2 linked regions of the Oreochromis niloticus genome follow. The main gene of each other region encodes a partner of the protein of the gene in region 2 in a complex. Links are inferred from orthologs where the notes say so. Each region holds a gene or a part of one and is shown on either strand. Other genes may lie near its edges.

Evidence for each region. Proteins that work in one complex are often made in the same cells at the same time.
Region 1: smarcc2 (region 2) and smarcd1 share a complex: the UniProt entries of both Homo sapiens proteins name them as parts of the BAF complex. The link is inferred for Oreochromis niloticus from reciprocal best matches to the Homo sapiens genes SMARCC2 and SMARCD1.

What each region holds. Positions count from the first base shown.
Region 1 is NC_031970.2:8,062,101-8,069,461, forward strand, and holds the start of smarcd1 (SWI/SNF-related matrix-associated actin-dependent regulator of chromatin subfamily D member 1), read left to right. Parts: upstream 1-4,334; 5' UTR 4,335-4,387; coding exon 4,388-4,570; intron 4,571-7,361. UniProt on the Homo sapiens protein: Involved in transcriptional activation and repression of select genes by chromatin remodeling (alteration of DNA-nucleosome topology).
Region 2 is NC_031970.2:23,534,647-23,541,658, reverse strand, and holds the start of smarcc2 (SWI/SNF complex subunit SMARCC2), read left to right. Parts: upstream 1-4,004; 5' UTR 4,005-4,046; coding exon 4,047-4,157; intron 4,158-4,785; coding exon 4,786-4,905; intron 4,906-5,002; coding exon 5,003-5,088; intron 5,089-5,209; coding exon 5,210-5,291; intron 5,292-5,841; coding exon 5,842-5,934; intron 5,935-6,028; coding exon 6,029-6,098; intron 6,099-6,184; coding exon 6,185-6,254; intron 6,255-6,426; coding exon 6,427-6,502; intron 6,503-6,951; coding exon 6,952-7,012. UniProt on the Homo sapiens protein: Involved in transcriptional activation and repression of select genes by chromatin remodeling (alteration of DNA-nucleosome topology).

The DNA.
Region 1 (7,361 bases), about 15 Mb from region 2:
CTCTGTTCAAGAGTGAAAATTCAAACAAACATGACTGCGGGTTCAACTTTTTCAGCTACGTTTGTTTATTTTTTAGAGACTTTGTAGTCAAGCCTAGTGATTACCACCATATGCGTCACTCTTTTTACCCTTTATTCATTTGTAATCTTATATTTAACACTCAATAGGTCAAGTATAAAGACCCCTCACTCATGATAAAAAGGATATGGATAGATTTGTATCTTTGTATCTCTACACCTGAACAAGGTGTAAACTGGCACACATTGATGTATTTTTAATCTCTTAAACCCTGTAAAATAAAGGCCTTTTTATATAGACTTATCTAACCTACCTGAATTTCTGGTCTTGGATTTTTTAGGCCATTTTTGGCAACATTACTCAGAACATCTTTATTGATCCCCATATTAAGAGCAGTGGGAAGTCACAGAGGGCCAATAGCATTGGTGAAGGGCACAATTCTGAGAGATTTCATTTATTTTTCATGGTAGGAAATATCTGACCTCAGAACATACAAACTCAAAGCACAAGGCTTTTATCCTAGGCTCAAACCCAGCCACTCTTACTCATTTGTGCCTGATGTATTTAGTCCACAAAAAAAGACATTGAAAAACATTTGAAAAAAAATGAATAGTTTCCTAAGAAATATCTTAAAATTACATCCCTTTTTCTCCCACATTAAAGGCATGATGTGATGTGTCATATTTTTCTTTTCTGCCTATCCCAAGATGTTTCCTGCTTCACCCAAAGGCCCACTGTCATTACACTGCTTCAGAGCCAACAACACTTGAGTCAACTACTCTGAGGGCAGACTTGGGAGGCCCAGTGGTGAAGGACACTATTGCTGTCTTGTCCTTGAATATTTTAAGATTAATAATCCATACTGATTTATTTCTAGGCCAGTTATGATGTCAATAATTCATTACTGGTACCAAAACAGTTTTAGATTTTTCATTAATTATTCTACACAAAAAAGGAAAGCATCAGAGGCTGAGGTACTTCAAATGTTTCATTTTTTGCATCAGTCATTTAATGAAATCGGTAGGATGATGGACAAAAGCATAAAGAGCCATCTTCAACTACAAGAAGAACCATGAGTCCTGCCTTTCACAGCAGTATCAGCTTGATATGGCTTGAGACCACCAAAGAACAGCAGCAAGTTCTCCAAGATCATAGAAAAGCATTTTGAAAGTCCTTTTAAAGGACAGGGATGGTCACACTAAATACTTCTCTCATTGCAGTCTGCTGCACTTTGCATGATGAATGATGACGTTAACTGATAAATAAAAACTACTTCCTTCATTATTTTGAAAGCATCCAGCATTTCCTTTTAATGGCTACGACTCAGTCATGGCGGTATATTCCTTCCAAATGTCTCTCTACGAGGGCCTCGCATGCTGTTTTGTTTGGTTTTAATCCATTTTGCAGTCCCTGGCAGACAGATTGACTGGATGGCATACCAAACAAGACAGAGTTAACCTTTGTTTAACTTTTACAAACCCAGACAGAGTTGTTTGTTTTGGTTTACTGCACATTGCATCCATAGATCTGGTTTTTAGTCACCAGTCAGCCTGGAGAGATATCAGACGCTGAATATAATTAAGTTTATTCATTTGGTTAGAGGGACAATGAATTTTAATTACAGTTCTGAAAAAAGAGAGATAAGCAAAAGGCTAATTTTCATAGTCACTGAGCCCGTATTGCCAATAATTTATCAAAGATTGAAAGAAGAAAATGCAATCAGATTATGATAAAAGGTGCCAATGCTCCACTGTTAATTTAGTTAATTAACAGTTTCATTATCTTCATTTCATTTTCATTTCAAGATTACTTGTCAGATACTGACTTATGCTATTTTTTCTTGTGTTTCATACTTCATGTTAGCACTTGTTTAATTAAAGAATAAAATGAAGGAGCAACACACAAACACAATAATGTTTCTGGATTTAGTTTTATTTCATTTATAACCTTCCTTAATTTAAGAAAGGCTGTGATTTCCCTTCATGTTCAGTGAAATTAAGTTAAAGTAATTACTTTTAAACAAGTGCCAAAGTACTAAATTGAGGTACACAAGGTTTATCTTTACAAGCACCTATATTTATCTGTCATATTTCGGTACTTAATAATTACACAATTTCATATGCACTTTAATTTAGAGCAAAAAAACTTTAAAGGTGTCACTTTGGACTCGAGATAATTACGGTGAAAGAAAAATAGAGCCAAATTACAGAGCCAGAGGCAGACAGGTACAGTTCTGTGAAAAAGAACATTTTTCACAGGACTCTATGCACTCCTGTGAAAAATGAGTACACGCTTAATGCTTCCATTAAAATTATATTAGCAGCCAGGAATTAAAAAGGTAAGTGGCAGCCAGGTATTGATAATCAACAAATCATCACCAAATGTGAGAACCTCTATAAAAGCAGACGTTTTGGCAGGTTGCTGGTCTGGAGCATTTAGGTCTGTGTTTACACTATCCCACAATCTTCCCAGGACTGGATATCCCAGCAAAGTCACCCAAAGACCACATCATGCAGTGGTAAGAAAAACTTCAAAGAACGCAAAAACATGAGATACTTATTAAACTCAACAGATATTTCCTACTTCATGGCAGTATAACTAGATATAGACTGAAAAACTATGGCTTGGTTGGAAGGACTGGAAGGAGATAGTCTCTTCTCTCTAAAAACATAGCAGCACGGTTTAGGATTGCAAACTTGCAGCTGAGCAAGCCTCATGACTTCTGGAGCAATGTCCATTAGACAGACAAGTTCAAAGTGGAGCTGTCTGGCCATAATACACAACACTGCGTTTGGCGAAAACCAAACACAGGATATCAGCTCACACACCTCACATCAACCGTCAAAGCACAAGCTTACAGACCTTGGAGTTACTGAGTCGACCATGAACCAAAGTGTTTTAGAGCCAGATGTGAGGTCATCTGTTCAACACCTGAAGTTTGGTTGAAATCGGATCGTCCAAAATGACAATTATACCAAGCTCACCAACAAATCTACAATGGCTGAAAAAGAAAAGACTCAAGGTGCTGCAATGGGCTAGTCGAAGTTTAGACATCCAACTGAAATGCCTGCAAGCCTAAATGAACTTAAGCAGAATTCTAAAGAGATAAGAATATTAAAGACAAGTGGGACAAGTTTCCTCCACAACAACATGAGAGACTGATAAAATCATAAAGAAAACAATTACTTTAAGCTATTGATGCAAAAGGATCTAAAAGCTATCAAGTCACAGGATGCATTTAGTTTTTACAGGTCTGTATTTAGACCAGTAAAAACTTTTACTTTTACATGACTGTAAAACAAACTTGCAGCTTAGTAAGGTCAGTACCAAAGCAAAACACAAGGAAGGCTAACAAGATAAAGACAAAAAGGTCAGTCAAAAATCTAGGTTAACTTGCTGAGGTCAAAAAAACAGGCAGAGTGCACATAGACAGTCCAAGGCATGGATGAACAGGTAAGTGGAGACCTGGGGAAGATTAGGTGATGCTTCTTCTTGAAACTTTTTGCATTCCCTCTTTCACTACATCCATGAATGTTCTCTGTGGTCTTCCTCTCTTCCCTCTGCCTGGTAGCTCCATCTTTAACATTATTTGTCCAATGTAACCACTATCCTTCCTCTGCATATGACAGCTTTGCCTCTCTAACTTTGTCTCAATCTGAGCTGTACCTCCTAAATACTTATTTTTAAACTTGTCCATCCTGGTGACTGCAACAGTCTCCATACCATTCATCATCTCAGATCTCAATACCATTTTAAAAGCTTTCCCATTCGCTCTTGCTGCTATCCTTCTGTCACGAATCACCCTGATACTTGTCTCCACACACTCCATCCTGGCTACACTCTCGTCTTCACCTTTTTTGTTCACTGCCCATGGCTTTGGGGATGATGTTAAATTTATTAATTAAAAATGAATTACCACATTACCTAACTAAAATATCCATTAATTGTAGTCCAGTAGCATATTGTAGCAAAAAAAACGTATCCATCTACAACAGTAATATCCTGGTCAATCCTGCTTTTTAAGTAATTATACTCTAACAGATGTAACATAAAACAAATATTTTGCGTAATAGCACAACTGAAGTGAGTACTCTTAATACCTTAAGTACATGTTCATGATTATAGTTAGAAACTTTTACATAACTAGTATTTTTTAAAGAACTTATATGGAGTAATGGAGTATATTTACAGTACTTTTGTAACGTTGAACGAGGACCTATTCCGCCGTCATCGTCACCAGGTCTAATTTTGCTGTAGTACCACCAACAAACAGGGGAGGGCGTCTTGAACCTGTGACGTCCATCCCAACACTCGTTCTCGCTCTCGCGGTAGCTCCGCGCCTACACCGGCAGCGACATTCAGAGAGGAGATGGCGGCCAGAGGGGGGTTTCAGTCGGCACCGACGGGTGGTGGTGGAGCAATGGGACCTGGACCACCGGTACCGGGTGCAGGACCAGGCATGGGACCAGGAACACCTTCTGGAAGAATGGGACCATCGGCTGCCGCGCAGAACCACATGTACCGCTCACCGATGCCCGGGCCTGGGTACCCGGTAAGATATCGCTCTATCTTTGCTGCTGACGCGTTAGCGAGTCCGCTAGAACAAAGCCTCGCTCCGCTTGCTTTGTCCCTAGTGGCTAGCATTAACCCCCTTCACCACCGTAGGCCACAGCTCATACTAACTAGCAGCCCGGTTCAAAACTGGTGATGCATTTGAAATATTTCACCAGTCGCTGTGGATGACCATCAGAGTTTGTTTGTTGTTTGAATTTGCTAACCCTCCCGCCTGCTAACATTAAGGTTAGCTAGCTAATCGCAGCATCCAGTTAGCTTAGCCTGCTAACCCCGCTAACTGTTAACTGTATTTCGGCCAGTTTTCTTATCAAAAAGACCCAAAATGTGCACCGTGTAGTTTGTAAACATAACAATTAAACCATCCTTTAAGTTTTAGAAGTTGTAGTTTGTGAAGTTCAGGCTCGGTTCGAACTCAGAAGTTGTTATAAGTCGAGCCTACTTTTGAATGAATCGGCTGCATCAATATGAGTTTGTGTCAATGCAAATTTACAACCTACCTACAGAAACACTGATTAAGGAGAGGTGCCAGTCAGTAGCAGACTTCACTCTTTGTTTAGCTGGTGCAGTTTGTCTCGTCGAAGTTGGTGTTTTACAACTTGTAAAGTCTAACATCAGTGTGTCTATGTTTAGTGAGCTCACTGTTACTTGGCTGGTCTGCCGCAAAGTACACCAAGTACCAAGAAACGCTGGGATCTCAGCGTGAACTCACTACGCATCTAAACTGCTGGAAGGATGTTTAGTTAATTTTGAGTCTTATAAGCTGATATTTTCTGATCTTCAAATCAGATTACAGCGGTTAGTCCATTGGTCACAATTAATAATAATAATAATCACATGATTAATCTACAGTCGTTTCTCACATTTGAAATATAAAATAATTTACACAATCTATTAACATTTACACAGTGCAGAATTGATTTGAAAACACATTAACATTGTCCACCAGCAGCATTGGTAAACTAATCTTATTTGCCAGTATACCATCAACAAACTGGATATACAGTAACTGGTCGGTTGGTTGTTTGTCAGTCTCAGAAAGGGGAAAGTTGCCTCACAAACATTTGTCCAAATAGTCGAAAATTTACTTACGGACCTGCAGGTGATACACACATATTAAACACAATTTAACAGTAGTCTATGATCCCCTAAATTGCAGAGATACTCAGAGTAATTATGCAGTAAAATAGATAGAAAAACAGATGTCCAAAGGAGACAATTTCTACAAATTGTCACAATGAATACACAATAAAACCATGGTGCGTTCACCCTCAGCCACTAGTTATCTTGTTTGTTTTTTTAAGATTTGTGCTGTTTCAAGATATTGTGATAATATTTTGATTTATAGCACTTTTACATAGGTGGGTCCTCATACTCATTTGATTATATTAGTTAGGAAACTTGATGTTTTGGTCTCAGGTAGAAGAAAAAAACATAATTTTGAGTTTTAGTGATTTCCTGTCAGATTAAACATTTCCAGAATCCCATCCACATTCGCTGTGTTGCTCGTGTTTGGTCTAAAGTAGATGTTTCAGGCTCTGGTTGCCTTGGTAATACTGTAATTTATTTACCAACCTGTCTTATGTCAGTCAGCGGTATCAATGACGGCAGCTTGGAAAACGTCCTTCACTTTGTTTGCACTATTAAATGTTGCTGCTTGCAAGCTAAAGTCACCAATACAACGTTGTTTTTTCCCCTGTATCGCTGTAAATATAATCACAATTTTCCCTCAAATATTGTGATATAACTTTGAGGCTAATATCACCGACTCTGACTGTAATGGGAGAAGAATGAATATGGGGAACTGTGAAGGTGAACGCAAAGTGCACCTTCACAGTTGCCTGACTCTGAACCACGAAATAGTCTGATATAGACCAACTGTTTCAACTCTGGACGGTGATGTTGATTAGGTTGCCGAATATTTTTGTATGTCGAGGGTGGAAATCCCTGGAATATAATTTTTAAAAACCTCCCTTTAATACATATAGAGATGCACAGCTCACAGATGCACAGAAAATAAAAGAAAAAAAGTTTAAGCAGGTAAAATGACATCAGCTCATTTTCTATCTTGAAATCCCACACTATATTAATATGGAGATACTGATCATTTCAGAAGTTTAACTGCAAGGTAGAAGATGCTGCCAATTTCTCCTTCTAGTTCTTATGTAACAGAATCAAGGTCCACGATGACTGCTGAGATTTAAAGGTGAGCTCCCTTTGGCTGAAGAAACTGAAATCTTTCATTTGCTTTCACATCCTGCAACACATCGTTCTGCACAGTGGGGACTCAAGAAAATGACCAAGAAGCAAACATTTTCAGTAAATCAGGACTTCAGACTCTAAATGTTTTCAAATGAATGGACTTTAAAGCTGATTGTGTGCTCCAGCGATATACTGCGTGCATGCTCCATTACTATATTTGATCAGAACTCTTTGGTTTCTTGGTCTTATTATCCCATGCATGCTCTTGCATTCATATTTAGTATCAGAGTATAAATTTTCATATCCTGATCTGTAGTCCTGGGTTTATTCCCCCGATATTGCATTGGATTGAGTCATCTCCAGCTAATATGTTATGTCTTAAGATAAGAGAATTGTATTAAAATCAAGATATAAACGATGAGTCATTTATCACTGATCCACAGCTGAAGTGTTTGCTTCTTAGCTACTACCAACCTGAAAGACAGCTCAGTAAATGGTTGTCACATATTTTTTCTCTTCCAACGTCCTTGGCAGCCTTTCACATCATAGTCAAAAGAGGCTTCATACTC
Region 2 (7,012 bases):
ACACAAACGCAGATTAAAGCTTCAACATGATCCTCAAACACCACCATCATCTCTGAGATCTGGACTGAGACAGAGTGGAGAACTGGTCTGTGTACAGACAACCCTCTATGGAAAACATGGAGAACAGGTCTTGTCTAAAGAGGAGAGGGACCATTCTGCATCTTTGATGGTACGGCGGTGCATCATTGTCTATTGAATTGGCAGCTTGCACAACTGGAATGGCACCAACAATGCTGAAACATATTTACAGGTTTTAGAACAACATATGCTCCCACCAGGATGGGAAGGCCTATAATATTTCAGCAAGACAACGCTAAACTGCATCTATTAGAACAGCATAAAATCTCTGTGTTTCTATTGTGAATAAATTATGGGTTTATGAGATTCGCAAATCATCCTGCAAATGTGCAAAATTACATTTAACTAAGTTTACATTTCTGGCAATGTGCAAATTGGTCAGGATAATAAGCACTGTAAAGGTGGAATTGCAATATGTTGTATGTGTGCAAAACCATTGATTTTACTGTAAATTACATTTATTTGTGGACATTTTTAGCTGCGTGTTTCTCTTTGTAGAATTTTAGTGGCAGTAAATCCCAAAAACAAAACATACACAACTAGAATAAGGTATTCCAAATTTAGTGAGTTGGTTAAGCAGGATCATGTCAGCCACAGGCATCCATAGCCACACAATGTTGCCAAATGGGCACATATTTGATATTCTGATCTATTCTGTAAAAAAAAAAAAAGCCATATCTTTAACAGGCAGCATTTCTTTACTTAGACATGTTTCTTTTTACAATATTCTGATTTTCCTAAAGTGTTGCTTTGACCTGAATGCTAACTTTAACATCCAAACAGGCTTAGAATGCTAACATGTTGATGTTTTGAAGGTTTTTCCATCCATGTTAGCATGCTAACATTTTTTGTACTAAGCACAAAATTCAACTATTGATCAAAAATAATATGAATAAGAAAAATGTGTTGTGGTTTGTACATGGTTGCTTTTGCACTGCCTGCACACATTCAGTGAAGACAGAGGAGCCTGAATATAAAATTTAATTGCATCAAACAATGCCTTGTGAATACCCTTTTTTTTCAGGTTTATAATTAAAAAGCTTGATGCCTAAAATTCTTCATGAGTGAGCTGAACGTACTAGTGCTGCAAATAGTTATTGAAATGTCAAAGATTTGTCATAATTGCTGCTACAGCAACCTGTTTGAAGAGAGCTTTCCCATTATCAGACTTGTTTCTTCACCTGCTGCTGCTTCTGGCCCTTTCCGAAGCCACCCAGTGAAAGTGAAACATTGAAACATGAAAGGGAGTCTCACCTCCCTGGAATAAAAACAAGGAGATGGATCTTTAATTAAAGGTGAGAGCTAATACTATTCAGAACAAGGAGGTTCTTGCTGAATGAGGAGCAGACAGGAGGTAAGGGGAATGCTGCACAGGGAGGGGGGGGGAGTTGTTGGGCATGTATCTCGGCAGTGTCTCCCTCCCTCTGAGTCCCAGCACTCCCTCCTTGCAGATTCCAGCGTTAAGTTAATTGGACAGGGAGAGGAGAGGGCTGAGGAGGGAAGCGTTCAGCCCCATTAGCAATCCCCCTGTGGAAGGCTGAGCCGAGAGGATCACAGACTCACAAATAGGAGGATTAAAATAATCAATAGGCTTCACTCTCTCTCCTTCAGCACAGGCAGCCCTGTGTACAACGCTCACACACACAAACACGCACCATTACAAAGATATGCACACACATGCACGCACGCACACGCTCCTGAGCAAATACAAACACACCAAGAGTCTGAGGAATACTAGTTCAAGGAGCACTACTCTGCCCAGTGGTGTCTGTGGACTTTCACAAATTAGTCTGGGTCAGGCAACATGCACACACATACACACACACACACACACACACACACACACACACACACCTATTCTCTGTTAATGAAGGTTAATTCAGCCTCTGACTAAACGAGGGCCAGTTTAAAGGTCAGGAACATGAAAACAGTCTGACATATCTATATTTTGCTCCGTTATTTCTGAACTTTAATGGCTGCTGAATTTGCTCTCACATAAAAGACTTTTGTATACATATATATATATATATACATATACATACTGAATATGCTGTATAATTAAAAGTCTTGTATCCATACAACATTAAACTTGTGACATGTGTGCAATTTTTAGTTCTTTTACTGCAGCAATTTAACTGAACACATATTTACATATGTAGTTTTGATTTAAAACAAGTACTTTATAAGAAGAAATAAAAGGTGACCAGAGGAAAATATCAAAGTGTTCAACATAATAGGGAATAGCAGAAAAAAATATCTACTCTGGCACTTAGCTGAACCAAATCTGGAATCTAATTTGAACTTTCAAATTCTGATAATGCTCACCACCTTTTCCCCACATGACCTTTTTAAATGAAGCACTGCACAGTTGAGACTCCTCATGCGGTACATACAAAATACTGCTCAGTTTTATCACACAGTAAGTTTATATAAGATTGTCCATTTGAGTAGTTTATGGAGGATTGAAAGAAAAAACTTAAAGTCCTACTAAACACACAAAGGCAAAAAAAAAGGACAACAAACAGACAACGTTTAATCATTTAATTTTTATGAATAGATAATTGAAAATCCTTTGAGAGGTCTTAACCCCCAAGTTAAGATAAAACCTCCAAACACATTTCCTGTAGTTATCGCCAGGCTGAGGAGGGGAATTGATTTAATTTGTCCACAATCACATAACAATACATGATATGCATCATTTCTTTAGGGACTATTAAAGTATTCTGATTCTGATGACACTGAAAACTAGAGGTTAAATAGAGACTGGACACCTGCTGGGACACTCTAAGTCTCTCAGTGTAAGTGCTTCCATGATTTAAGTTAAAACCATTGACTTAGTGCATAAAACACATATCCGAATCATGTCAATTACCATCAAATAGCAGGATTTACTACTTTTTGTCGCACTGGATCAGAAACTGTCGTTTTCCATTTTTATTTTTCACAGTTCAATAAAAGATAAAAAAACAAACACTACTTGCCTGCCTTCTTTCTTGAGTGTCTCGTGAGCACTCTTACTGACATCCTGTTGCAGGAGGTCATTTAATTGCTAAGGAGGTCAATCGCTGCCATTTCATTTTTTTCCCCCACACACATTTACAGGTAAGTGCTTTATTTTAGACTCACCATGTAGCCCATTCAGGGCACTGGCATAATCAGCCTCCTTATCACTTCTAGAGTGGATGCATATGGTGAATTTTACAAACAGGCACAGGCATCAAACTAACTATTAATACTGGTTATTAAATAATATTTTTATTAATACTCTGCAAGCTCCTGTACATTTTACACACGCCTGAGGATTTGTTCATTAGTGTGTTCCGCATTTGTTGAGCTTCTACAGATTTTACTCACACAGAAAAAAACATAGACTGCCGTCAGTATAACTTAAAGCTCTGCTGAAGTTTGCTTTTGATGACCTAACGATCCACCTGACTCTATTATGTAAGACTCTCTTCAAATACTGACAGCCGAATTGAGAAATTATCCGATACCGGACATGATTTTTTAAAAACTCATCTTATTAATTGGTCTCAATTTAATTGCTTACTGGTTGAGGAAAGTATGATAAAATCAAGAATAGGGTAAAAATGATTACTTTAATTTTTAAACATAGAAAGTAGGGAAGTTAACGAGCTCTCGCTGTCAGTTTTAGTCTACTTTTTTCTCCATTTTACTAAATTACTCTTTTTTTTTTCAAATAAAACAGCAGTTAGTTACCAGCAAACCAGATCAGCATTAAACCACTGATACATCTATCTATCTATCTATCTATCTATCTATCTGTGCGTGTGTTCGCTGAGAGGTTAGCATAAACATTTTTATAATCGTATTGTTGGAGGACAAAAACATTATCTACACCGCTGCGCCCCCTGTTGTACTTTGGTTGTCACTACAGTCCAAGGCTGCAGTTTCGCGCTGTGGTCGCTGGGCGGCAGGCAACTTCGACTAGTTGTCTGCAGGCAAAGATGGCGGTGCGGAAGAAAGACGGCGGCCCGAATGTAAAATATTTCGAAGCGTCTGATACCGTTTCTCAGTTTGATAATGTCCGCGTCTGGCTGGGAAAGAATTACAAAAAGGTACCGACCGCATGTTTTGCTATCCTACAGCGAGACCTTCCATTTTTCACGTTGAAATATGGCCACTTACCTATTGGGCAGAGGCAGTGACAAAGAGAGGAGGGAGGGTGCTGCTGAGCGTCCAGCTGTTTGATTCACTCGAGCCGGGATACAAAAGGATGCTGAGCCAACAGCTGCATCAGATGCAGCCACTAACGGCAGCTTCTCTGAGCACTGTTGTAGTTAAACCGATCTAAAACAAGCACACAGTCTGACCTCAGAGGATGGATTTTTGTTGAAGGGTGACTTTAGCCGGCCAGCCCGCTAGCTAGCTAGTAAGCTAATGGGCTAACGGTGAGGCAGCTCGGATCCAGATGTTGGCTCTGTGGCGCGCCGCGCTGACTGAAGCAATGTCCGGTGTTGAATAACACTGAGGACTGTGCTGGTGTTTAAACACAATAAACAAATAAAAAAAAATCATTTTTTACTAAACAGTGATAAAAATGAAAGGTTAGCGATATTTGTGACTCCATCCCCTCCCCATTTACCAATCCGTGTCGCAGTTTTCACTGAAATTTCCTTCCTTTGAGGTATCTGATAAAGGCATCCAGCAGCACAGTTGAGTTTATATTCATGTGTTTGCGCACAGTACATCCAGGCCGAGCCCCCCACCAACAAGTCTCTGTCCAGCCTGGTGGTCCAGCTGCTCCAGTTCCAGGAGGAGGTGTTCGGTCGACATGTCAGTAACCCTCCGCTTACCAAGCTGCCGGTACGTGTCTTAAGCATCTGTATATCTGTTACATGCAAAAATAGATACCTCATTTAAACCGCTGTGATTCTGAATGTGTTGAGTTGTATCCCTGCAGATGAAATGCTTCTTGGACTTTAAGTCAGGAGGGGCTCTCTGCCACATCCTGGCTGCAGCCTACAAGTTCAAAAGTGACCAAGGATGGTAAGACTTTCTTTCTAGCTGAGTTTAGGCGTCTGGGCTAGTGGCTGTTAAGTTACGGTGCTCAGTTGGATATTGGCTATGTTGCCGTTTCGTGTGTAACTCCAGTCTAAACTCCTGGTAGGCGCAGGTTTGACTTCCAGAATCCGTCGAGGATGGACCGAAATGTGGAGATGTTCATGACGATTGAGAAGTCCTTAGTGCAGGTGAGATTTGCAGAAGTGCTTTTATGGTTGTCAATGGACACTAGAAAATTTCAGGCCATATTTTGGTTCATTTATCTAACAGGAGTAAATTTTTGATGGTTTTTCCTACTGCAGGCATTAAATTTAAATGATAGCAAAGAGAACACCGTGTCCTGTGGTTACGCTAAATTTCTCAAGAGTCTGGGAATCACGCTGCCTGAGCATTACACACAGAAGTACTGAAAGACATCCAGTCACATGACCACAGAAATCCTACTTAATCAGTCCTGCAGTTTTCCAAGATCATTTAGATTTCTTCATCTGCTGTGGCATGCTGATTTCTACTTTTAATCAAGTTCATAGGACAAGTACTGGGCAATTAATATTCCAAAGAGGGCACATGAGAAACTGGGACTGTTATGGAAGACTGCATGAATAAGCTTATAGCAAAACTAATATTGGGCAGAACTGAGTTTCGATTATTGTATTGTTTTGTGAGTCTTCTTGATTATTTGAATCAATGCTCGCAAATGTAGTTATGTAAGTGATGTATCTGCTCCAATTCTTCCAGAACAACTGTCTGACTAGGCCCGTCATCTACCTGAGTCCTGACATAGAGCCAAAGCTGCTGGGGAAACTGAAAGACATCATCAAAAGACATCAGGTGTGTTTTAAAGGAGCCTTTCAGGCAGATCATTTACTACAGACAGATTTAATTTACATTCAAATGGTTCTACTCATGTTTTCTTGTATTGCAGGGCTCAGTAACCGAAGACAAGGCCTCCAGCTCCCACGTTGTTGTGCCTATTCCTGCCAGTCTGGAGGAAGGTGAGGTTTTGTCTCGGTAGGCATTGTTACAAGTTTTACTGCACGAGTCAGATTTGCGCTAACATCGTCTGATCTTCTTGGTCCAGAGGAGTGGGTTCGTCCTGTGATGAAGAGAGACAAGCAAGTGCTGCTTCACTGGGGATACTTTCCTGACAGGTTTGTTCTGAGCACCGTGCAGCTCACTTTTATCTACTTCTCTTATTTTCTCAATACATCTTTGGTTTTTAGAAGGTTAAGCTGACATTACCCCTCCTGCTGTGGTGTTACATGGCCAAACGTGCTTTTCCCACCTAATGCGAGTTTCGACCTCATTCCTTTCACTGTTTAGTTATGATACCTGGATCGCAGCCAGTGAAATTGAGGCTGCGGTAGAAGATCCTCCCTCCCCAGAAAAGCCCAGGAAGGTATTTGTTGTTGCTTTTTTCTGTCTGTGTCAGTCTGTATGAATTTAAACAGCAGATTTTCTAATACTCCCTGAGTTAAAACAAGTATTTGACCCCTTTATTAATGCTACATGACACTTGCAGTATTTAAATTCAAGGATCTTTTTTTTTATTTGTCCACTGTGCAGCACTTAAATGTTACAGATACATCTGTATGTTTTTGGAAACCTTTTTGATTTCAGCTTGAATTTAAATTTGTTCTTGTTCTTTATAAAGTCTTTAATAACAGAGGTTAATATCATGAGTTTCAGTCTTTTATTATAACTTTTATTATAACTTTATTATAACTCAGTTTAGCTCTTCCTCCTTCCACCTCCTCCTCCACCATCCTGGTGGTTGACATGATTGCTGAAAATATTTCACTTCTGGGCAGATAATAATTGGTTTATTTATTAATTATTTATTTACAGGTCCATGCAAAGTGGATTTTAGATCTGGACCAGTATAACGAGTGGATGAACGAGGAGGACT